3 linked regions of the Lepisosteus oculatus genome follow. The protein of the gene in region 3 interacts with the protein of the main gene of each other region in a pairwise test. Links are inferred from orthologs where the notes say so. Each region holds a gene or a part of one and is shown on either strand. Other genes may lie near its edges.

The links. The genes of interacting proteins can lie anywhere in the genome.
Region 1: the proteins of nudt21 (region 3) and cep126 interact in a two-hybrid assay, tested with the Homo sapiens proteins (2 studies listed by BioGRID and IntAct). The link is inferred for Lepisosteus oculatus from reciprocal best matches to the Homo sapiens genes NUDT21 and CEP126.
Region 2: the proteins of nudt21 (region 3) and myosin light polypeptide 6 interact in binary tests that used the Homo sapiens proteins (3 or more experiments, as listed by UniProt). The two-hybrid records come from large-scale screens. The link is inferred for Lepisosteus oculatus from reciprocal best matches to the Homo sapiens genes NUDT21 and MYL6.

Annotation. Positions count from the first base shown.
Region 1 is NC_090700.1:8,341,215-8,349,248, reverse strand, and holds the start of cep126 (centrosomal protein of 126 kDa), read right to left. Parts: upstream 3,165-8,034; 5' UTR 2,814-3,164; coding exon 2,785-2,813; exon of another isoform or gene 2,781-2,784; intron 1,668-2,780; coding exon 1,548-1,667; intron 1-1,547. Other genes in the region: angptl5 (angiopoietin-related protein 5), read left to right, coding at 4,503-4,577, 5,966-6,143, 6,283-6,386, 7,046-7,139, 7,725-7,825. UniProt on the Homo sapiens protein: Participates in cytokinesis. Necessary for microtubules and mitotic spindle organization. Involved in primary cilium formation.
Region 2 is NC_090696.1:19,646,966-19,654,666, reverse strand, and holds the start of myosin light polypeptide 6, read right to left. Parts: upstream 3,165-7,701; 5' UTR 3,086-3,164; coding exon 3,083-3,085; intron 2,540-3,082; coding exon 2,512-2,539; intron 2,286-2,511; exon of another isoform or gene 2,258-2,285; intron 1-2,257. UniProt on the Homo sapiens protein: Regulatory light chain of myosin. Does not bind calcium.
Region 3 is NC_090715.1:903,444-910,784, reverse strand, and holds the start of nudt21 (cleavage and polyadenylation specificity factor subunit 5), read right to left. Parts: upstream 3,079-7,341; 5' UTR 2,865-3,078; coding exon 2,746-2,864; intron 2,168-2,745; coding exon 1,967-2,167; intron 1,442-1,966; coding exon 1,378-1,441; intron 994-1,377; coding exon 889-993; intron 97-888; coding exon 21-96; intron 1-20. Other genes in the region: gpr190b (leukotriene B4 receptor 1), read left to right, coding at 5,083-6,039. UniProt on the Homo sapiens protein: Component of the cleavage factor Im (CFIm) complex that functions as an activator of the pre-mRNA 3'-end cleavage and polyadenylation processing required for the maturation of pre-mRNA into functional mRNAs.

The DNA of each region.
Region 1 (8,034 bases), on a different chromosome or scaffold from region 3:
ATTAATACAGGATCTTTGCAGTATACTGTATCAAGGCTGATGTAAATAATAGTTTTTTTTCTAATTACAAATAAACTTAAATTTCTAACCTGACAGCATTCTAACAAAGACAAAGAGGTTAAAGCGATGTCCAAGTTCAGTACAGAATGAAAGTAAATACTAAACTGCAACTACGACAAAGATAGCAATTTGAATCTATTCTTAGAAGCTGCACAAAAATACTTCATACATGTCTTCTGAAAGTAATCAGTTTGTAGTATTTAGTCTACTATCATTACATACAGAACATTTTTTTTTCTACTGAACCTTTTATTTTAATCTCTTTCCAGGAGCTGCTAAGATGCTGAGATTTAGTAGGTTATTAATTGTCTGAGATTTGTGCTTTACCTTGGGATGAACTCATTTTAAGCAGAACACTTCAGTCTAGCCAATCTAATCTTGCCTCTTATAAATTGCATTACCGTTACCAATTAAGAAATCTAATTTCAGCAGACGAAATCCTGCTGGCAAGTGAAGTATTGAATAACAGGATCTCTCTTTTTTCCTTCAAACCATTTTCACTGACTGCTACAACTGTTCTGCATAGGAAAACTACACCATCAGCTGGATTGGTGGCAATGTACAGCCTCATAATTTAACATTATGGGATTGGTGCGAAAACATACTTTTTTCTTATATGTTTATGTGATATTAATGCTTATCTTTAGTGCTATAATAAAAAAACTAACAATTCCAGTGCTTCCTGCAAACACATTAAATGTGATTGTCAATTTCTGTTCAAGTTGCCTCTTTTCTGTTAACAGATGTTTTTTAGTACAACTTTACAAAAAGTTTTCTACATGCTGTATGCTGAAAAACAATGAAAACAGTCATGTGACTTCGGAAAAATGCCACGTACTCAGTATTTGATACCTGAATTGGATTAATTGCCAAAATAAAGTGATTAAGAATAAGTATCAATAGCCCTTCAGAAAGTAATTAACAAAAATGCTTCAATTAATGCAAAGAAGGTGAAAGATACAGCCGCGTCTTGTTTGAATAATGAGGACTGCTGGCTGATGTTGGCATCGCTGTCCATGAAAGGACTTGTTAATGTGTACAGTAGCCAGCTTTTTCTCCTGATCTGAGTCCCACAGAACACTTGTGGGAATTATTCACCCACACCATCAATAGAAAAAAACACAACTGGCCAACCTTCACCATCTGGCTGCATGTGGTGCAACATCCCATGCACAGTCTATTCACAACTTTCAGGTCAACACTGCCAAGATTGTCTGAATGCTTAGGGAGGTCAAATACAATACTAACTTTGTAATGTCTTCATTTTGACAGTATGTTTAATAGTGAAATGGTCTCATGATTGATCAGCTCTGTATGTAGTGCACAGTTTTTGAGTTCTTGTTATGATATATATTTTATTTAATCCAGTAGATCATAGTGATGCATTTCTTTTCTGTATGAGTATAAATTATATATTTTTGTGGATACTGCAACTGAATTTAACCTCTTAAAATACAAGAAAAAACAACATACAGTACCAAACATACCTCCTACGTCGATTGGTTTCCAAGGAGAATTTTCGAGCACGAGCTCTGCATGCCTTCTGTTCCTCAACCAGAACCTGACGGTCATCTTTCAACGGCCGTTCTAGCTCTGTTTTTATATTTCTAACGTCAGACAACGTTAAGGAATTTCAGGACATGGGGGTAAAAAGGAGATTTTGCCTTCACCAGTTGCGCAGTAGTCCAGAAGCACATGCACATTAAAATATAGGCCTGTCAAAGAAGGGTCTAGCATAAAAGTTAAAAATAAAAACCCACAAAGAGCCAGCCTTTAATGAGCTGAAAAGGGAAGCTTTTGTGTTAATAGTACACTACCAGTGGTCCATCTTTATTTACCACAAGGAAAACAATAGTCTGCAATACCTAGTTTCTAAAACATTTGTTGGATTACTGCAATTTCAGAAAGTTTCCAATCTGAATTAAGTACTAGGGGGGGAAAAAAGGAAAATTGTAAGGTCATTACATTAAATTAATTATGAAAAAACTGAAGATAAGAATCCATCCATGCTATCAAGTGACTGAAAACCATTCACAAAGCTGGGGAAAGGCTTTTCTTCTTGCTTGTTTGTTGTGCTATGATTGCCAAGTGCAGCGGTCACACAAATTATGCCACTCCCTTTTTACAGTGCAGTATGGTGGTCGCTATAATGGCAAAGGAGGTAACGGAGCAGACAAATGTAAGACACTTTGAAAAGCAGCAATACTGTATACAGGTATATATATCTAAACATTTTTTCCTTGTTTTGTAACTTAATTGTAGTTGCTATACCTCTTACCTCTAAATGATCTCTGTCAGCCAAAGGCCAAAATACTCAGATCAGATTGCAAAGTGATATGACTTTGACAGATACACATAGACTCATACACACACGCATATATACACTGGCATCAATAGCGGGTGAAGATACTCATAAGGAAAAATACAAATAAATTAGCTAGCTAGTCCAAAATGAGGAAAAAAAGTGTAATACAGTAAGTGAATATTCTGTGATGACTGTCTATCAAATTTGAAGCACACTGCCTGAAAATATTTGGTCTTTTAATGAATGACTATACAGTACCTACACCAATAGTAATTGAAGGTGGTTAACAACAACAACAACAACAACAACAACAACAACAACAACAACGTCATAAAAAACATTTCTAGAACTAGGATCTTGAGGTAGCTTCTAGCAAAAGAAATAGACTTATAACTAAACAGACATCGATTTAAGGATACGAATAGGAGCTGGCCCTCTGGACGTGCATCCTGAATCCCAGGATGGGACGACGTTGAAGAGTTCTCCAAACTGGTCACAATCTTCATTCAAACCAAGTTCAGCGATCGTACACGTATTTTAAGAAACGGATTATCCCCAGCCTGTATTCCGAAATGCGCTAGCCGGCTGTCCTCCGCTTCACGCCAAAATAAACCCACAGTTTGTGTGTGAACGAAAACGTTGAAACTGCGGCGCGATGTGCCATTGTAGTCAAGCGCTCGTTATGATCTTCTGTTGCTTCTCATTTTTTTTCTTATTTCCGAATTCAGCGTTGACAATTTGACTGGGTTTTCCAGCTAAGTAAAAGTTTTGCTCTGCTGAACCTCTAGATTAATTAGCCCCGCCATGTTGACAACCAGAGACGCCGCTTCCTTGACAACGGAAACTAGGCGCAGGTTGAGAGTGGGGCCGAGAAAAGGAGGAAACGACGGACGGCAGGAGAAGTCCGGCAGATTATAGCTGTTATCGCAATTATAATTCCTATAATAATTATTTATTCTTATAAATAATTATTTATGTTTACCTATCCTACTACTACTTTATTATAACTGCAATAAACATGGACACAATTTGTCGATTTTACACACTTGATGATGATCAGCGTACTCTTGTGTTTTAGGGTTAGGGTACAAAAAAACTAAGGCATAGACTTGCTTGATCAAATAATTTAACTGACATTTTAATTCAGAGCTCCTCCCAAAGAATAACAATTTATGTTTTGCATTTGGGCAAATGTGTGCTACTGTTCTGAATTTCTGATGTCAGCTAATATTTCATGTCTTTTCAATAATTACGATCTTTTTCTGATTTCAAAATTATTCTAAAATCCCTTCCAAGGCACAATATTATGCCTTTTGCTTCACTGAGCCTGTTTGCCACTACTCAGTGAAACCTGTTATTCACTGTTGGGTGTGTGGTCTTCCAATAGGCTAACACTTCAGATTTGTAAATACTGTATGAAAACTTAAGTCAATAAACATACTAGTCTAGCAAACATATTTCTGTATGTTGCATATTGTACGTAATTCTTTGCAGATGCAGAGTACATAAAATCTCACTTTACAATGTGCTCCCCCTGGTTTTGTCTATAAAACCTGAAGGGCAAGGAATTTATGTGGAGCTCCAAGTGTGAACAGATGAACCATACTGCAAAATACTATGCACATTACAGACACAGAATTACATTCCATAAGCATCTTGTACATACCAGTAGTTGTAGGCAATCTTTCTTCAATACTGTGGAATTTATATACACTGTATTTTTTACTCTATTTTTAGGAAAATAACAGCAAACTTGTGCTGCTTTCTAAAGAAGCTGTTAAAGGGTTAAAGTTACATTTTGCAGAAATGTTATTGTTTGTTTCTTGGTAAATCTGAATTAAGAAACAGTGCTCAACATTTTTGTCTAGCATTTCGCTTTGTGATATGCCTGTGCAATACAAAACTAAACAGTGCTAAAAGAACACAGCAGTGCACAATATTTAAATTGATTTGACACAGTCCCAAATCATATCCTGTCCTGAACGCTTTCAGCAGTTGAGAGAAAGTCATTTGTTTTGGCTCTTTGCTGTTGTGCAGATGCCAGCAGAGCGTCTTGAGTTCCTGAAGCTGTGGTACCGAGGGCTCATGAGACTCAGTAAACCGACCAGCACATTAGAAAACGTCTTCCTAAAGGAAAATGAAAAGGCTTTTCTTCCCAGTTTTGTTTGTATCTGTTCTCCATGACATCCAGACAACATCGACCAACTCTGTGGTATGTATTTTTGTTAGATATCTTAAAATTGCTATTATTTCCTGTACGGAAAAAAAAAAACTGAACCAGAGCACTTGAATTTAGTTCTAAATTGAATTTCGGAGTTGTATGTGCAGTATTAAAGTGTGTTTTAAAGTTTGCATTTCTTAAAAAACACAAGATGCATGGAACTGTTTGGTAACATAGATGAGCTACATACATACATATATGCATCCACTGTACATGTTTAAGGAGACATCTGTGCTGTAAAATATTTTCAATCCCTTTTTACTTTTTTTCATTCTTCAAGACGTACAGTATGAGTGAATAGAAGGGACAGATTCACATTCACACTTAGGGTTGCTTCTAATGATTTAAGCGTTAATTAAATGCACTCCTAACAGAAAGCAACCTTTGAAGTTTCATTGGATTTTTGTACATAGAGAAACAGGAAACAGCTTGCATGTCTCTGTTCAACATTTGATAATTAATTCCAACCTTAACAAACTTCAAATTCTCCTGGAGTAAAGAGGAGAAACATAACAGTTGTTCTTGGTATGTCAGCCCAGTCTGTAGTCTAATGCATCTATAATTGTTAGATATTTGTGATCTGTTAGATTTAAAATTAGGAAGAATTTGCCACAGTATTAACTATGATCATTTATATGCAAAACACATTGGGAAATTCTAATGCAATGTCACCATTAAGAATCTACCTAAATACTGAAGCTAATCTCCTGAGAAGAAATTGATTGTTTCTGCTTCCAATGTGCCATGCTAATGGGTTTTCCCCATTCAAGTATTGAGGTCTTGTGGTTTATGGGGTATATTCTTTAAAACAAAATAAAAAAAAATGTCAGTATGATGTTGTGGGTGACATACAGAGATTAGTTATCCTTGTTTGCTATTTGAGGAATGAGATATTCAGTTCTATAATAAAAAGATAAACACAAACTAGGGGATACAAGAAAATGCATTCCTGCCTGGGTCCTGGCAAAAACGTATTCTTGGCCAGCAGGCAAAAAGTACAAATATAAAACAGTGTTTCCAGAGACATATTTAAAGATACAGCTCACATGAGGAACTAAGTAAAGCTGAAAAAAATATTAAATCCACTTATGCACTGGCTAAAAAAATAAATAGTCTACCTTCTGATATTTTATTAATGTCTTAGTAACAAAATGAAAAGAAATAAAATGAAAAATGTGTTTCATCAGTTCATTATTTTTGGAGGTACATAAGATTTAGCTAATCAAAAACATAAGAAAAAGAGTTCACTTGTTTACATTTTAGATTAGCGGGTAACTATAGAACTTTATAAAACGCATTGGTTCAGATGACTTAACATAAGCCTATGTGATCCCGATCAGTTTGGCATGATTGAAAATGTTTTCTTTGTCTGCTAAAAGGAAATCAGTGAAAGCAGTTCAGCTATAAATCAGTCTACAACGGCGAAGGGAAAATACCATGGTGAAAACATGAAACCCAGACTCTCCAAGCCATCAAGAGAAAACAGGCATGAGACCTGCCTTACGCAATGTGAAATGTCAGCAAAGCTCATGAAGGAGGAGAAACACCTGATGTGCAGTACGTACACTGAGGACTGTGGACTTGACTTTCTGTTTTTAAAAGTAAAGTGTACACGGAATGGGTTTGGCTTATATCCACGACCCGTATACCCTGAATTGATACCACAAATTAATGCAGTTTTATCTATCTTTTTAAGGAAACTTACACCATTCTCTTGTTTCCTACACGAGGAGCACAAGGAAAATGATTAGAGGCATGATGGAGGATCACCAGAAATCACTGGAGTTTCTTTCAAGCCAGGCAAGCTATAGCAATGTACATTTTCTTGCATGAGATGTGTGGCAGTTAGGAATGGATAACAGCCTCAAAAGAATCCAAACACAGTTGGACTATTTTCGTGGAAATGTAATGACTTTTGCCGTTTCAGAAGGTACTAGTGACATATGAGAGTGTTTTTTGAGCTTTTCTAGTTCTAAAACGAAAACTAATTTTTAAACAGAAAGCAAAATGTTGACATTTTTATTCAGAGCATTCTTACCTTTTGTATTTAGAGCTCTAGGAGGAGGAGGAACATGATTCCCTAAAGACTAAGAGAGCATTTAATTCCTTTATACCTAAAACATTATTCAATTGTGGAATAGTGTTTTCTGGTAGGGATCTTCTTCTTGTTTTATGTTCATTATGTTTATTTATTGTTTTTTTGGGGGGAAAAAACAAGTCTCTACAAGTTAATTGCCTATTATTTTCATCTTATGGTAGGAGAAGAGTTCTGATTGAGCGATGTTGTTAAATGTTGTTTTGCATTATGGCATTGTACTGTTGTTGTTATTGTATAATCATTATAAACATGTAAAGTGTTTATGAGTTCTTGATATGCCCGAGAGGAATTTCCTTAGGGGCAATAAAGATTAAATTAATCAGTTTTATATACACCTTGAACTTTGCTTTTATTTTCACAGGTAAGGGAACTGATGAACAAAGTTCTGACACTCAGTACAGAAGTCTTAAAGAACAACATTGAGCCATTTCCACATAAGCCAGTACAATCACATGGTAAGGTCATACATTTACCTCTCTCATGTTAAAGCCTATTTTTTTGTCTTTTCTACACTGGTCACTGATGTATAAAGCCAAATCATTGCCAAAGCTCTTGACTATGAGTGTAACTACGACTCCTAAACTGGTACCAGAAGGTATTTGTATTTGTGTTGGAATATTGATATAATTGTTGTGAGCTATGGAACTGTGTATGTTATTATTGTGTAAACTGGCTTTCCCAAGAGACTCACGTGGGGCCTCCAGCCATAAATGTATATACTGTATGTATAAATGATATACTTACTGTATCTATCTGTATATACTACATTTCAAGAAGATGACTGTAACGATCTTTTATGAGAAATTATCCCTAAAGGGATAATTTGTGTAGTGTTTTTGTTAATTAAATTATAAACTTAAATAGAGAATAAATAGTGAATATAATAAATATATGGTATGAGAGGCAAATCTAAATGTTATTAAAGTGGAAAACAAAGTTAAATGATTGGTTGATATTTTTTGTCCCACAGGTGGAAACATCTTTCTGTGTCATTTACAGTCTGATTCTGCTAATATTTTCATGTTGATTACTGTTTCTAGGGCGTGATTGCAGTGATATTATAGACACAGTACAGTCCATTTCCAAAACTCCAAGTGGTATTTACATAATCCAGCCAGAAGGACTTGACTATCCATTTGAGGTAACAAATAAACTATGTTGAAACACACAAAATGACAAAACAGACAAAAACAACAAAAATGTATTGGTTTATTGGTTACAAATTCATTTGAGCCATCTAGCCCATTTAAGCTGTTAGTAGTTAAATGATCCAATTATCTCATCCAGTTGTTTCTTGAAAGAAGCCAGGGTATCGGCTTCAATAGCACGGCTGGGAAGTTTGTTCTATAA
Region 2 (7,701 bases), on a different chromosome or scaffold from region 3:
CCCACAGAACAGTGCCGTCACGCACGCTATTGTCACAATCCCTGGATGCCACTTCGACACTGCAACACTGCTCCTGCAAAAAGCATCTGGAAATACCAGCCTTGAATCTTTTTGATCTGTTGTTCCATTCGCATTAGCATTACAGACTGAATACCTATTGCAGCAAAAAAACAAACCTCTAAGGACAATGAAAGGTGACATCTACTGTACTTTTAATCCTTTATTTCTGGAGTTCCCAACTCAAAAGCTAAAAGCTAAAAGCTTCAGCCTTTGAGAACAGTTAAAAACACACTAATTAAAAGGGGACCTCTGACATGTTCAGGGACTGAAACCAATTAAAGGGGCTAAAGTGAATGCAGATAGGAGGTCAGTCTCTGGTTCAACTGTATAATGGATCAGATGGCAAGATGGAAATTAGACACGAGGGTTCAAAGGACCAAGGCAGGGAACTCGACTTTAAGCCGCCTGGTATTGTAATTCTTACAGTCAATGGCATACAAATTGAGACTACATCTGTATACTATAAGGCAGCAATCCAAGAGATGGGCCAAACCCAGGATATGAACCTACAGCCTTCCACTTGGGCGTTCAGAGCCCCTGACCTCCGCTCCAACATCTCAAAAAGAGCGAAAGACAGAACTAGAGGACATACTGGGTCACAGGCCTTCCCGGTTTGTACTCCACTCCATTACACCAGAAAGGGCACAAGGCTGGTGGAGAAGAAGAAGCCTCTCGAGTTTTCGTTTTAAATCTTGTGCAAAAGCTCCCGTCGACTGGGAATTTATGATAAAGAGATGAAGGAGGGAGGGAGGGGTTAAAAAAACCCAAACAAACGCTGAAATACAAAAACGGGATCATCAGGCGAGGACCGTCTCCGCAAGGGAGAGGGTCGGGAAATGCTAAAACGCCAATTAAGGAATATCCCGGGGAACGCGCAAGGGACTGTTTGGGATTTGGGAGGGAGAGAGTCTGGAAAGACGCTGCGGAATTTCCTGACGTTGCCGCGTAATGGTGTTCGTTTTTCCTGCCGGCAGGAATGCGGGCTCTTCCCGGGAGCAGCCAGGACTCTCTTCACCATATAAGGCGCGGAGAGACGGAGGGAGGCAGGCAAGGGTGTTATCAGTCACCATCGCGGCTTCAGCACACCAGAGAGGAAACCGGCCGAAAGCCGTCCAGGAAACCAAAAAAGGAGATGGCCGTTTAGACCACCACCCCTCAACACACACACACCAAAAACCAGATACTAGCCTAGAAAAAAAGCAGCTTTCAGGCAGAAGGACTCCCCATCAACTTTAATCTCCGACCCGAGTAAGAAATTCACATTTCACCGGATACTCGAAACACTTTCTTAACCATTTCCTGTTCTGTCTTTCTTGTCGACGGCGAAACACGCTAACGGGACTTCGGAAGAAAAGAGAACGACAAAGGGGCATAAAAGCGCTCAAACAATCGTTTTCGGAGCTTTAACCCGAGTTTCAAGTGCAATACAAGTCCCATGACACGCTTTTCACACAGCATTTTACAGCTCTGTACTACAACAACTTTACCGTTGCCAAGTACTTCCGGTTTAACTCTTCGGGTCTCTCTCCCGATTTTTCTGACAAGATGCTGGGGGGGAATTACAGACCGACAAAACTGACAAGCTTATTTCAGAAACGAGCGCCATCTGTATATTTCAACGCCCTGCTCGGGATAGTAACAGATTAGTCCATATCCGGCGCATTTCCTCCCCAAGAGTAATCCACCGAAGGGAGGGATTGATAGACGGCCATTTCCTCACACTGCTGCAGAGTCGATCATTACACATGCGGGCTAGCAGTTCACCTCTATAAGGACATCTCAAGTCAGTATTTACACATCTGACATTCACAGCCTCCTGGCCTCAGTCTGACACCGTGCCTTTCCATTGAAAGGTGGGACATTGCGCACACTCACACCCAAGCCTGGTAGTCGCCAGTGCGGAATAGTAGCAGGAGTCACAACACGTTAATCGTTTCGCGCATGCAAAACCCAGGAAAAAGAATTTCACAGTCGCCCTATTGTTAGTTAACACTTCAACCCCATCAAACGTCACGCCAGGGTTTAATTCAGCAAAGCCACACACACCAGACCCGACTTCTGCGCTTCCTGTGCAGTGAGAGCACTCCTGCATGATTAAAGGCGACGTTCCCGTGTCAGGCATGAACACATTCGCCGGCCTGTACTTATCTCTAACCTCAGTCTGATCACAACGCACGGCAATGCATTGACAACTTACCGTAGATCTGTGCTGGTTTAAACTCAATCTGCAAGTTGTTTTTTTTTTTTTAAAAAAGAAGAGAGAGAGAGAAGGAAAGGTGAAAAGAGGAAGATGTGATAGGACTCAACAGACAGATGAAGCAGTAAGCCGGTGTCCAGAAGCTGAAGATGAGACAAGAGAACCGTCTCTCCTGACGGAAAAAAAATAACTTTCAGATCCACAAAACCCCGAAGCTCTTTCGACAAGAAACATGTAAAAGGTAAAAGACTTACCAAGAATCTGGTCTTCTGAGAAGTCAGACTGTTTTATTAAAACAAAAACGGAGAGAAAACAGGGACACAAATCAAACACTAATACCAAATGATAGAAGCATTCGCAACACCTCCATTGCGGATACAAGGCTAATTTCAGGCTAATTGCGGATATAGGACTCCTGGTCACTGATAACAGAGGGAGGGTGTGGGGTTGGGGGTGTTATTAAGCTGTATAAAACAACTTCACACCCCCGGATACCTCACCTATCTACCTCAAACGCAACCGGACGAACTTACGAGATGTATCCGGGACAGGTCCGCCTCATCCCGCTTCAAATCATATTCAATCCCCAGGCTCGGCGAGACGAGCGGTATTTCATTAATCGTGCCCCAGACAAGGGTAGCCAACAGCGAGCATTCTTGAAAAAAGGCCCTCCCACAGCCAGCTTGGGCTACACTGTCACTTCAGCACCCTTCAACGCAAAACTAGAAGAGCCTATGCTTCTGCTTAACCCTGCATCCCTGCATCCCGATATACCCCTGTTATATCCTGATCCGCCTGTGTAAGACACAATAAGAAAACACCCACCATTTTCGCTGCCCGGGCTGCTGGAGTTCAGAGTCTGTCGGTCGACGGCAGGAATGTGGGCCGGTCCAGGGCGGCGGGCCTGTAATACCTACTCCTTGCGTCACTGTTTACTGAAGCCCAGCGCCGCCAACCAATCGCAGCCCGGCTCAGCGGGCGTTGGCTTCATTGGGTTTACCGTAGTACCCCATAGTGAGGCGCACACATAATTATAACGGGGAGGGGACGAAGATTCACGAGGAGACGCTGTAGTTTGTAAACTTCAGCAGCCGCTGTCAAAATATTTCTGCGGCTTACAAAGCGGTCGTACAACGTATCTAAAATTAAAATGCATATAACCATATATGAATATCGGCCTTTATTATCCTCAATGATCATTTCTCAAAATCAGTTTAGAATTTCGTTGCACCCATGGATTCATATTTACGGTACGGAGAGAGGTCGGAGGCTGATGAATGACCTCTGCTGACTGAACCGAAGGGGTCCCCTAGTGTATACAAGCTGCAACTACACGACAATAAAGGAAGAATTTTTAAAAAGAAGAATTCCTTATATATATATTGAAGTAGATCAGGTGGGTAGCTGCGTCAGCATGCGTAGGCTGCAAATGAACAAGTAATAGGTTTATTCCACGCTGAAAAGAGAATAAAGAAAACACAACCTGAAGAAGGCTCCACAGCCGAAATGTTGTGTTTTCTTTCTTCTCTTTTCATCATGGAATAAACCTATGACTTTTTCCCATATATATTACACGTATTTTCTGGACACTCCACTCAAAGCACTGTACAGGTAATGGGGATCCCCTCCACCACCACCAATTTATATGGCTGCTGGTGATATAGCCAGCAGCCATATCACCCTGCAACTCACAACTGGCAGCCCACTGAAGCTCAACGGGTGTGAGCCTGGTCAGTACCTGGATGGGAGACCTCCTGGGAAAAACTAAGGTTGCTGCTGGAAGAGGTGTTAGTGGGGCCAGCAGGGGGCGCTCACCCTGTGGTCCACGTGGGTCCTAATGCCCCAGTATAGTGACGGGGACACTATACTGTAAACAGGTGCCGTCCTTCGGATGAGACGTAAAACCGAGGTCCTGACTCTCTGTGGTCATTAAAAATCCCAGGGTGTTTCTCGAAAAGAGTAGGGGTGTAACCCCGGCATCCTGGCCAAATTTCCCATTGGCCTTAACCAATCATGGCCTCCTAATAATCCCCATCTATGAATTGGCTTCATTACTCTCTGCTCTCCTCCCCACTAATAGCTGATGTGTGGTGAGCGTTCTGGCGCACTATGGCTGCCGTCGCATCATCCAGGTGGGTGCTGCACACTGGTGGTGGTGGAGGGGAGTCCCCATTACCTGTAAAGCGGAGTGGAGTGGAGTGTCCAGAAAAGCGCTATATAAGTGTAAGCAATTATTATTATTATTATTACAGTGCTTTGAGTGGAGTGTCCAGAAAAGTGCTATATAAGTGTAAGCAATTATTACTTAGAAATTATTCACGTGCAGCACCCCCTGGAGGATGCACCAGTCTGCTCGCCACATACCAGCTATCAGTGGGGAAGAGAGCAGAGTGATGAAGCCAGTTCACAGATGGGGATTATTAAGAGGTCATGATTGGTAAGGGCCAATGGGAAATTTGCCCAGGACGGGGGATAACACCCCCTACTACGTTCTAGAAACGCCCTGGGATTTTTAATGACCACAGAGAGTCAGGACCTCGGTTTTACATCTCTTTTGAAGGACGGTGCCTTTTTACAGTATAGTGTCCCCCATCACTATACTGGGGCATTAGGACCCACATGGACCCCAGGGTGAGCGCCCCCTGCTGGCCCCACTAACACCTCTTCCAGCAGCAACCTTAGTTTTTCCCAGGAGGTCTCTCATTCAGGTACTGACCTGACTCAGACCTGCAGAGCTGCACTGGTTGGTTTCGCTTTGTTTTTAAGTACTATTTTAACTATTTTTACATATATTTTAAATCATTCTCTTTTTAACAATAGCCTGGTTAGCACCAAGTATTGCAGAAACTACAATAAATGGGATTGGAAGAGCCATAGTTTCAGTGTTTCATTGAAAGGGCTGGAGGGCGGAGTGGTGGCACTGTAGCTAAGGATCTGCACCTATGGTTCAAATCCTGCGGCTGGCAGAGGAATCCTACTCTGTTGGGCTCCAGAGCAAGGCCCTTAACCCCAGCTGCTCCAGGGGTGCTGTATAAATGACTGACCCCCAGCTTCTCTCCCTGTCTGTGTGTCTCATGGAGAGCAAGCTGGGGTGTGTGAAAAGACAAATTCCTAAAGCAAGAAATTGTATAGGGCCAATAAAGTGATCTTATCTTATCTAAATATAGGTACAAGTTTCATCCATCTGTATCCGTTGGGAAAAAAGGATCTCAAACGTTTTTAATTAGCGCTGAATATTAATTCAAAAGCAATCAACTTTCTTTTCTGAGAATTAATTGAATGCCACTGCGATCAGACCGTCCCTGATGCCCCGTGCCGAATCAGAACGCGCAGGACCTGCCAGCCACCCTCCGGGCCTGGAGCTGGGGAGGACTGGCAGGGAAACGGAGACAGCCCGACGCACGCAGACAGAGATGCGGCAGACGCACTGCAGGACGGACACGCAGGAGTCACGCACACAGGCACAGAGAGCCCCGCGGGCCAAGCGTCAGCGCCTGCCTGCCCGCGGCTGGTTGTCCTCCCAGCAGCCGTGTGAAGGCGATGTGAAGCCATACCCCCAGCGAGAGATGGCCGCAGCCGCGACAATGGCGTGACGGTGGCAATGGTACTGGGGGTGGTGTGGGGCTTGGGGGGGGGGCCCAGGCTGGCAGGGATGCAGCCCTGAGCCCCAGTGCCCCGGTGCCCCAGTGCCAGGGCTACTGCTCGGTGAGGGGAGCGGGACGGGGCAGAGGGGCGTGCCCCACGACAGAACCATTGAGAGACCCTACCCGGAACCACAGCCCCCGTCCGATTGGACACGCTAGCCTCGGTCACCTCACTCATCACCCGGGTCCCCGGGCAGCGCTGGGTGGTGGTTCGGACTGGCAGGGAGCTCCCGCATGGCTCACCTGCTCTCTCCTCGGCCAGGTTGCCAAAGGCCCTCGTGCGAGCTGAAATGGCGGACGTCCAGCCCAGGGAGCCAGCAGTCGCCTGGTGATGTCATAGTCTACCCTCTAGTCTAAGGGTCTTTGTATGATGACATCATTCTGTGATCAGGGAGCTGAGCGCAGTACTGGCTGGACGGTTCCGTGCAGACAGAGCAGCGCACAATGCACAGTACAGACTGACAGTGCAGTGTAGCCAGTCTGTTCATAAGAAAAGGAATGTAAGTTTTTGAGTAAGTGTACAAAACAGCATTTGTTTCGGGACCAGGAGAAATGTAGCCACAGTGCAGCAGACCTGCTGGTTCAGACCTGATGTCGTGATGTTGTGATGATGTCATGATGTAGTCAGAATAGAAAGGCTCATCCACAGTTACCATTTCACCAGAAGGAAAGTACAGAAAATCATACAAGAGGCACAATTCTGCAACTAGGCCCATTCACCCTTTACCCCATGCAGCTGGGGTGCTATCTATGTGGAGTTTGCATGTTCTCCCTGTGTAAATTGCAGAGCAAAGAAAATAGGAAAGTCTGCTGATGACCCCTCCCACCCAGGTTACTGTTTCATAAATGTCCCTCAGGAAGACGTTACATCTACTGAAACCAGAACCAAACAGCATCTTTCCAAGGGCTGTCTTTATGCTTATTCAGAACCCTAGTTCTATGTGCAGTGTCCTAACGCTGTCTATTGTCTTCTTTGTGTATGGCTTATGTAGAATGTCTTTGCAGCACCGGAGTAAATTCCTTGTACATGAATTGTGCTGGGTGAATAAAGGTGGCTCGGATTCGGATGTTCATGTGGAGCGTATGTGTGTATCCTGCCTCGTGCCTGTCGCTCGCTGGGATAGGCTCCAGCTCCCCTCCTCAGACCCTGAACTGGAAGAAGCAGGTAGAATATGGATGGATGGATGAAGAAGCTGTCAGAATACCCCGTGCCCTAGACTAGCGGTGCCCAGCCCTGGTCCTGGCGCCCCACACACCTGCTGGCTCTCAGGAGATCACTGAGCCTCGCTTCATCTGAGGAGCTGCTTCGCTGGAACATTTGCCTTTTGTTTCGACTCACAAGCTTGGGATCTTATTTCACTTACAAAATACAAAGGGTTCGAGCTGAAACATGTTTAAGAGCCGAGAACAAACAGCTCCCGTGACTCCTGTCATCATTATCAAGTCAGTGAAGGGCTTGATTGTGTAACTGAGGGCTCGGCAGTCAGAAAAACCAGCAGGGGTGTGGGCCACCAGTATCAGGACTGGAAACCCCTGCCATAGGCTAAGCCATACCACCTCCATTCAGCATGTTTCAATCCTTACTGAGATCAGAGAGCCTAAATCCTCCCTCTTCACCCACCAGCTCCAGCTGCAGCCCGAGAGACAGCTCACTGACTGACTGTACACTGGAGGAAGTGAACGACTTGTTAGCTGACTCCTCTGCACAGAATACAGGAGCCATCTGAGTTGATAGCATGTTTCCGATTGTCCAGCCTTCAGCCTGGAGCCTGGAGCACATCATACTGCTGTAGACATGAT
Region 3 (7,341 bases):
CAGAAGAACAAATCTCTTACCCTTTTCTTGCAGCTGCACAAGGAACAGCTTCTTGTGCTCCTTGGGTTTGGTGATGTGAGCTGGAATATATGGATACTGCAAAGCAAAACCGAAAAGAGAATGTGAACAGACTACCTTAGTGTGGGAAGAGAAGCTGGTACAAGAGTTACAGCAACTCAGGGGAGTCAGCACACAACATATACATACACAGTGCTGTACAACACTTATAAAACATCTGTGCTTCCAGCAGTCTGTGATTGAATATGGATAGTAATAATCCTCACACAAGCCAGAAAAAAAACTAAATAAGAGACCGTAGTAAAACGTTACATGGAAAGTAGATCACTTTTTGTTTTCTTAATCCTTCCAGTATTCACAGTATTCTTGTATAGCTGGAAGTAGAAATAAGCTACTCAGCCATGCTACTGAAGCTGACACGCTGGTTTCTTTCGAGAAATGACTGGATGAGTTCTTCAGATCAATTATCTACAAACAACCAAACGAGTTTGTAGGGCCAAACAGGGGTCCTCTCACTTGTAGGGGCCATGCGGTGGCTTTGTGGCTCAGGATCTGCGCCTGTGGCTGGACGGTTGCCGGTTCGTATCCCGCAGCTGCCAGAGGAATCCTATGCCGTTAGGCCCCTGAGCAAGGCCCTTAACCCCAACTGCTACAGGGGTGGCGTATAAATGGCTGACGCTGTGCTCTGACCCCAAGCTTCTCTCCCTGTCTGTGTGTCTTATGGAGAGCAAGTTGAGGTATACAAAAAGTCAAATTCCTAATACAAGAAATTGTATATGGCCAATAAAGTGATCTTATCTTGTAACCTTCCCTATGTTCTCAGCTGTACTTTGTGTGCATGTGTGTAGGCACTTAAACTGAAGGACTAACCTGTGGAGGCTCAAAGTTGGGTCGCCACCAATTGCCTATGCAGTCATCAATCACCCAGTCCTGCTGGACTCCGTCCTGACGTCCCAGAATCTGGTGATTAAAAAACTTTTAAAAACTAATTGCATGTCGGCCAAAAAGCAGCAGCACAAGTCTTTTAATGAAACTGATGAAAAAACACAGTAAACACTCACACATCATAAAAAACTGAAAAGAAAGAATGGATTTCTCCATTTACACTGTGAGAAGACTCAGTGTGTGTAGTGCTACACAGCAGACAGAACATGGATGTCACAAAAGAAAACACAACCTGCTTATAAATCAGTGCTTAGCTATCACAGCCTCAGAAGCTAACCTAAATGAACTACCACAGATAATGGATTTTAAACATCAAGCAAAATAGTGTACTATGAGAATACCAATCAAACAGAAAGAAACCTGTGTAAAGAGATACATTTTTGATAGACAAGAAATTCTTTACTAAATCAATACCTCTGTCATAAGGCGCTTGAGTCCTTCCACTTCATCTTCCCCTGGGTTTAATTCTCCACCTGGTCTGAAAGACAAAACAACTCAATGAGCCGCAGTAAAAACAACACACACCTGCAGCCATTTCAGACATAAGAACTGCAAGCAGGAGTCAGTTGAGAGAAGCAGAAAATTCCATTTGAACACAAGCCAAGATAAAGACATCAGGACTCAAGAAAGGTTACAAACAAGGGGTCATGTGGTCCTGCTTGCTTGTGTGGCTGCTGATCAGATGGTCCTGGAGTGCACACGAGGAGCCGGCCTGAACCACCTAGCTTACTCCAACTACCAGCTCCTGCACTTGTCTCCTCCTTCATCCCACCTGACCCTGGTTTTCCTCTCATTAAGCTGTCAGTGATCCCTTGGGCTTAATTCTGTCAGCACCTTAGAGCAGTCTTAATTCTTCACTTCACCCAGAATGCCTTGTCCTGAGTTAACTAGCCACCTAGATAACCATGGCTTCCTCTCCTGGAGGTCGTCGTTCAGCGTTCCTACTCTCAAGCCTCATAGCCAGGAGGTCACACACGCCACCCCAGCCCTGCTGGATACTCACAGCTTGAAGAAGGTGGTGCCCAGCTGCAGCAGCAGCACATGCGGCAGCCTGTGCTCGTGCACGATCAGAACCCCCTCCACCGTCCGCCGCATCCCGATCTTCTCAAACTCCTCTCGCATCCGCTGGAACCGCGCCGCCACCGAGCTGTCCTTCTCGTACAGGGGCTCCTTCGTGCCAAAGGTGTAGTTGGTCAGCGGGTACCTGCAACAGAGAGACTCAGCGAATCAGCTCGGTGACAACACCCGCTGCAGGAGCCCAGAGAGGGAGCCCCATCCAAGGCTTCAGCCTGGTAGTGTACTGGTGCTGCACGACATTTTCAGCACAAGTGTTCCCTGTGACCCTATACTGGATAAAGAGTGAGAAAATGGGTGAACTGTAACATCATACTGGCAAATTTTCTTTGTTGACTGGCATTAAACTGGCCGCCCTTTAACGCACAAGACTCCTACAGCTTGAGAACTAATTTCCTCGTCCTGCAGCCTTAAGTCTTAAGTCTTTTTCGTCATTTACCACAGTAAAGGGGAACATTTTCAAAAGACACCAGCTGGCTCATCCATCATTTAGCCTGGCCACGCAAAGTCGTTTCATCTCAATACTGAGTTTCTACGCCATCGTTCAGACAGAAAGCAAGTTCAATTACAAACTTAAGTCGAGATCTTTACAGAAAACAGCATAGCCAAAAAAAAAAGAGACAAATTAAATACTATAAGATTTTTCGTTCAGCAATGCTGTGCAAGATCCGCGACAAACAACGATAAGGAAGTAGAAACAAGGCTCACAGGTTGATGGTGCGCTCCAGGGTGAGCGGCTTGGTCGGCTGCGGGATGTATTTGTTTCCGAACTGAGTGACTCCGCGGGGCCAGCCGGTCTGTGATCGGTTGGGAGGCACGACCGACATGATTCTCCTAAAGCCTGTTAATTCCCACAAAAAGCAAAACGGTGGTAAAAAAAAACACCGCGAAAAAATAAAGACTAAGGACCCTTTCTCTAAAGAACTCTGTAAATGTAAAACAAAAGAAAACAGAATTGCACCGAACAAATAAATTCCGGCCACAATCACACACACTCCCTCCACTATCCACAAACAACTACATCCGGGACAACAAAGAGGCCCGTTTCCGTTTTACGACAGACTCCGGCTTTGCGACAGAAGACGTCGCTGTATGGCTACCATTGTATGATAATTGAAATCAAAACAGAAACGTGCAGTAATGAATGTGATGTGCGTTCTAATAAGAATACCGCTGTTCGTTTGTTGAAGTTGAATTTGTAAAACCAGACAGGATTATTTGTATTTTCTAATGAAAGCATCTTTGAGAAGATTTACCTCTGTTAAGTAGCAGCAGTGGGTTCTAATGGGACAGTAGTGGTTAATTTAAATGACATTTTTATTGAACATGCTTTTTGGTAGATAGCTTTATCTTGACGTGATTGACTGTAAATGGCACCTTGAATGTGTTACTCTGGGATATGGGCACGGTATTTGTTTAGTGTTTAATGTGGCAACCCTCAATGGGGTGTTATTAGGGCAAGAAGATGCTGCAGAGAGCTGATGGTTCTTTGCCCAAGTTCTGATCAGTGATTTAAATAACATAATAATTATAATTCCTTACACATATTTAGAGCTTTTCTACACACTCAACTCAAAGTACTACACAGGTAATGGGGATCCCTTCCACCACTGCCAGTATGCAGCCCCACCTGGATGATGACAGCAGCCATAGTGCGCCAGAACGCTCACCACACATCAGCTATCAGTGAGGAGGAGAGCAGAGTAATGAAGCCAGTTCAGAGACGGGGATTATTAGGAGGCCATGATTGTTATGGGAAATTTGTCCAGGACGTTTGGTTAACACCCCTACTCTTTTCAAGAAACACACTGGGATTTTTAATAAATACAGAGAGTTATGACCTTGGTTTTACGTCTCATCCAAAGGACGGACCCTTTTTTTTACAAGAAAGACTGCAGGGTGACCACCTACTGGCCTTACTAACACCTCATACCTCAGGCTCATACTTGCTTAGTTTCAATGGCCTGTCAGTGATGAGTTGCAGGGTGATATGACTGCTGGCTGTATGTTATCCAGACCGCTATTCATCCACCACTTAAGGTTTCTAGTGAACAGTAACCAAGTGAACACAGACTGTAAGTGAATTAATTTGTCAAAATAAGCATTCCCCCTGTTTCCACCAGAGGAAATCTGGTGCCTGAGTTACAAGTGCTGTCACAACCCAAATGTCGCTGGCTGAAAATTATGCCTTTCTTTTAATGGGCACTGTTAAATAATTACATGCATACGATATTATCTTTCAAATTAAATGAAACATTTTAAAAAGAACAAAAATGTTGATTCCTGTAACATACTGTACTGTACTGAAATGTGAGACGTACACACACATTTCACTGGCCAGAGACAGCTTCTGCATGTCATGCTGGTGATTCTTATGAAGGGTGAAACATGGCTGTTGGAAGTGATATTATGCAAAGTGAAGTAGGAATTGAAGTCTGTTTAGTTGGTTCTGTTTGTTTAGTGCTATGAAATGGTGAGAAGCTCATTAATGTTAAATCCCAGACTTATATATGTCCATTTTCATCCATTAATTTTCAAGGACTATTCAGTCGAGTACTGTAACCTGGCAGACAATGGACACAAGGCAGAAAATACCTTGGACAGAGGTTGCCAATCCATCACAGGGCACTCCAACATGTATAAGGGGCAGGAAACCATTGTGAACACCACGCAGAAGGTGCCCCAGGCCAGATTCTATGTCTGTTATATGAACTATTTTATATTGTCACTGCTAATCTCTCAGTGTGTGCAATAAGGCTTGACTATATGTGGCAATTTCAGAAGCAAAGATATACTTCCCTTTTCAGATTCTGGGCATAAAAAATAATATTAAAAAATAATTATTGACTCTTCCTGGTCTCTGCTTTGGAATAGAAAAATTAGTTAGCTTAAAAATGTGAAATGAAATTTCAGTTTATTTTCAAAAATGTAAAGTTACCATGTTTATCTGTCTGAGCTGTTCCGGCTCCTCATTGCATAGAGGTTTTTGCCAACTTCCTCAGCCAGCTGACTGTCAGTGTCTCTCAGCACTCTGGTCTTCTCACAATGCAGCAGTCCAACAGCACAGCCTCTAATCACACCCAGGGAGCTGTGGCCCCCAGTGTTGTCCTGGGGCTCTGCGTGCTGGTGGGGGTCCCCGGCAATGCTGTGGTGATCTGGGCTTTGCTCACCAAGCTGAGGAGAGTCACCTTCACCGTGAAGCTCATGCTGAACCTGGCCATCACCGACCTCCTCACACTCATCACCCTGCCCTTCTGGATCTACGCCTTGCTGGCCACCTGGGTGTTTGGAAGCGGCCCATGCAAGTTCCTGTCCTATATCATCTACTGCAGCATGTACGCCAGCGTGCTCAGCGTCACCCTGATGAGTGTGCAGCGATTCATCATGGTTCTCTACCCTCAGGCCAAGCTGAGGCTGCGCCACAGGGGGGAGAACGCTGTGCTCCTGGGGATCTGGGCCCTCGCCAGCCTCTTCGCCAGCCCCATGATCAAAGTCCGGGACATGGTGGAGGACAGCGACTTGCAGAAGATGTGTTTGTCCAGGACATACAGCTCAGACAGCGAGAGAGTGGTGCTCCTGTTGCTGGAGACACTCCTGGGGTTCGTCATCCCTTATTCCATCCTGACCACCTCTTACATCTGCCTCACCAGGAGGGTGAAACAAACTACCTTCGCCAGCAGCACGAGGCTGGAGAAGGTGGCCACTCGGATCGTGGTGGCCTTCTTTGTCTTTTGGCTCCCCTGCCACGTTTTCAATGTGCTCAAAGTCTGCGCCATCCTCCTGAAGACTTCCAATATGGACGCATCTGCAAAGCTGGAGAGTGTGTGGGAGGCAGGCAACGATGTAGCAGGATCTCTGACGTTCCTCAACAGCTGCCTCAACCCGTTCCTGTACGCCTTTGCCTCACGTAGCCTCTGGAAAGACGCCCAGGAGAAGGGTGTGCTCACAGCGCTTTGTCTTTGCAATAGTGACCATTTCAGCCAACAAGATGAGATGACCTAGTACATCCAGGTGCTTCTCTGCAGTCTGTTTCTGATCCGCTTCCAAAATATTCAGAACTCAGATGCTGAAATGATTTGCATGGTGTTTTCACAAGAAAACAAAAGATATATAGAAATTGAAACAAACTACGCACTTTTACACCCCTCAACAAGGAAATTAGTATGCATTTTATGAAAACAATATACTCTGTGACATGGAATAAATTGAGCTAGAGCCCGCTGTACCCTGCAGGTGAGTCCATGCAGATTAAAATTGTTTTCATTTACATCAACAATAAGGGCTTCAGTTATTATACTAAGTGTTGTAGTTACTGGCTTGCATTGACTGTTTTTTTTTAGTTTGATGTTAAACCCTCAGTTGTAATGTGTCTCATTTGGAGGTTTAGTAAAACAAAGGTAGTAAATCTTTTGTGTATTTTAGATTTCATGATTACTTTTTATTGAAATAAATCTTAAGCTAAATCTTATGTTTAATAGAATAGAAACAATTGAAACAGGAAAGCTAACAGTAAAGTATATAATTCCAGTGTTAAATATTACTGCTCCATTAAAGAGAAATTAGTTATTTAAGTAGATTCTGGATAGATGGCACATTTAATTCTCTTACAACTTTGTCTTTCGCCTGATTTGCTGGCTGCCTGAGAGGTGCTGCTGTTAAACTCTGTGTGGATATCTCACCACACAACAGAGGGGTGAGACTGAGTGCCTGGAGCAGGTTGGTCTGTGTAGACACTTTTTTTGCTGCTATCTTTTGTCTTAACCACTGTTAGAAACTAGACCAGAAGTAAATGAATAGGGTTGATTGTGTTTTTTGTTTCCTGCATTTAGGCTTTGACTGATTTGGGTTGGATTGCTAACTGATTTCCAAAATCCTGTATTGTTGTCTTGAAAACAATTTGCATATCGTTTTATCTTTACATTTGCAAGTAACTGTAACCTGAGCAAAAGTGAATTAGATCTTTGTTGCTTTTTCCTCATATTTTTATCATGTGATTTTTTTACCTCCTTCAACAGATTACATTTTTTCCTCTTCCCTTTTTTTCTTTTTTGAAAATTATGGAAATCTGGACTACAAGTTTAACAATATTAGTGTTACTAACGATGGAAGAGGTTATTGTTTTTACTGCTGTTAGTTTCCTACCAGCCTAATACATTATGAACTGTCTGTTTAATGAGCGAAAGGAAAAAAATACAGCTATCAAAGATATTAGCATTTAAGATGAATGTCTTCCTGAATTGTATGTTCCACAGATGTACCCCATGAAGGAATAAAACATATACTGTATATATTTCTCCCTCTACA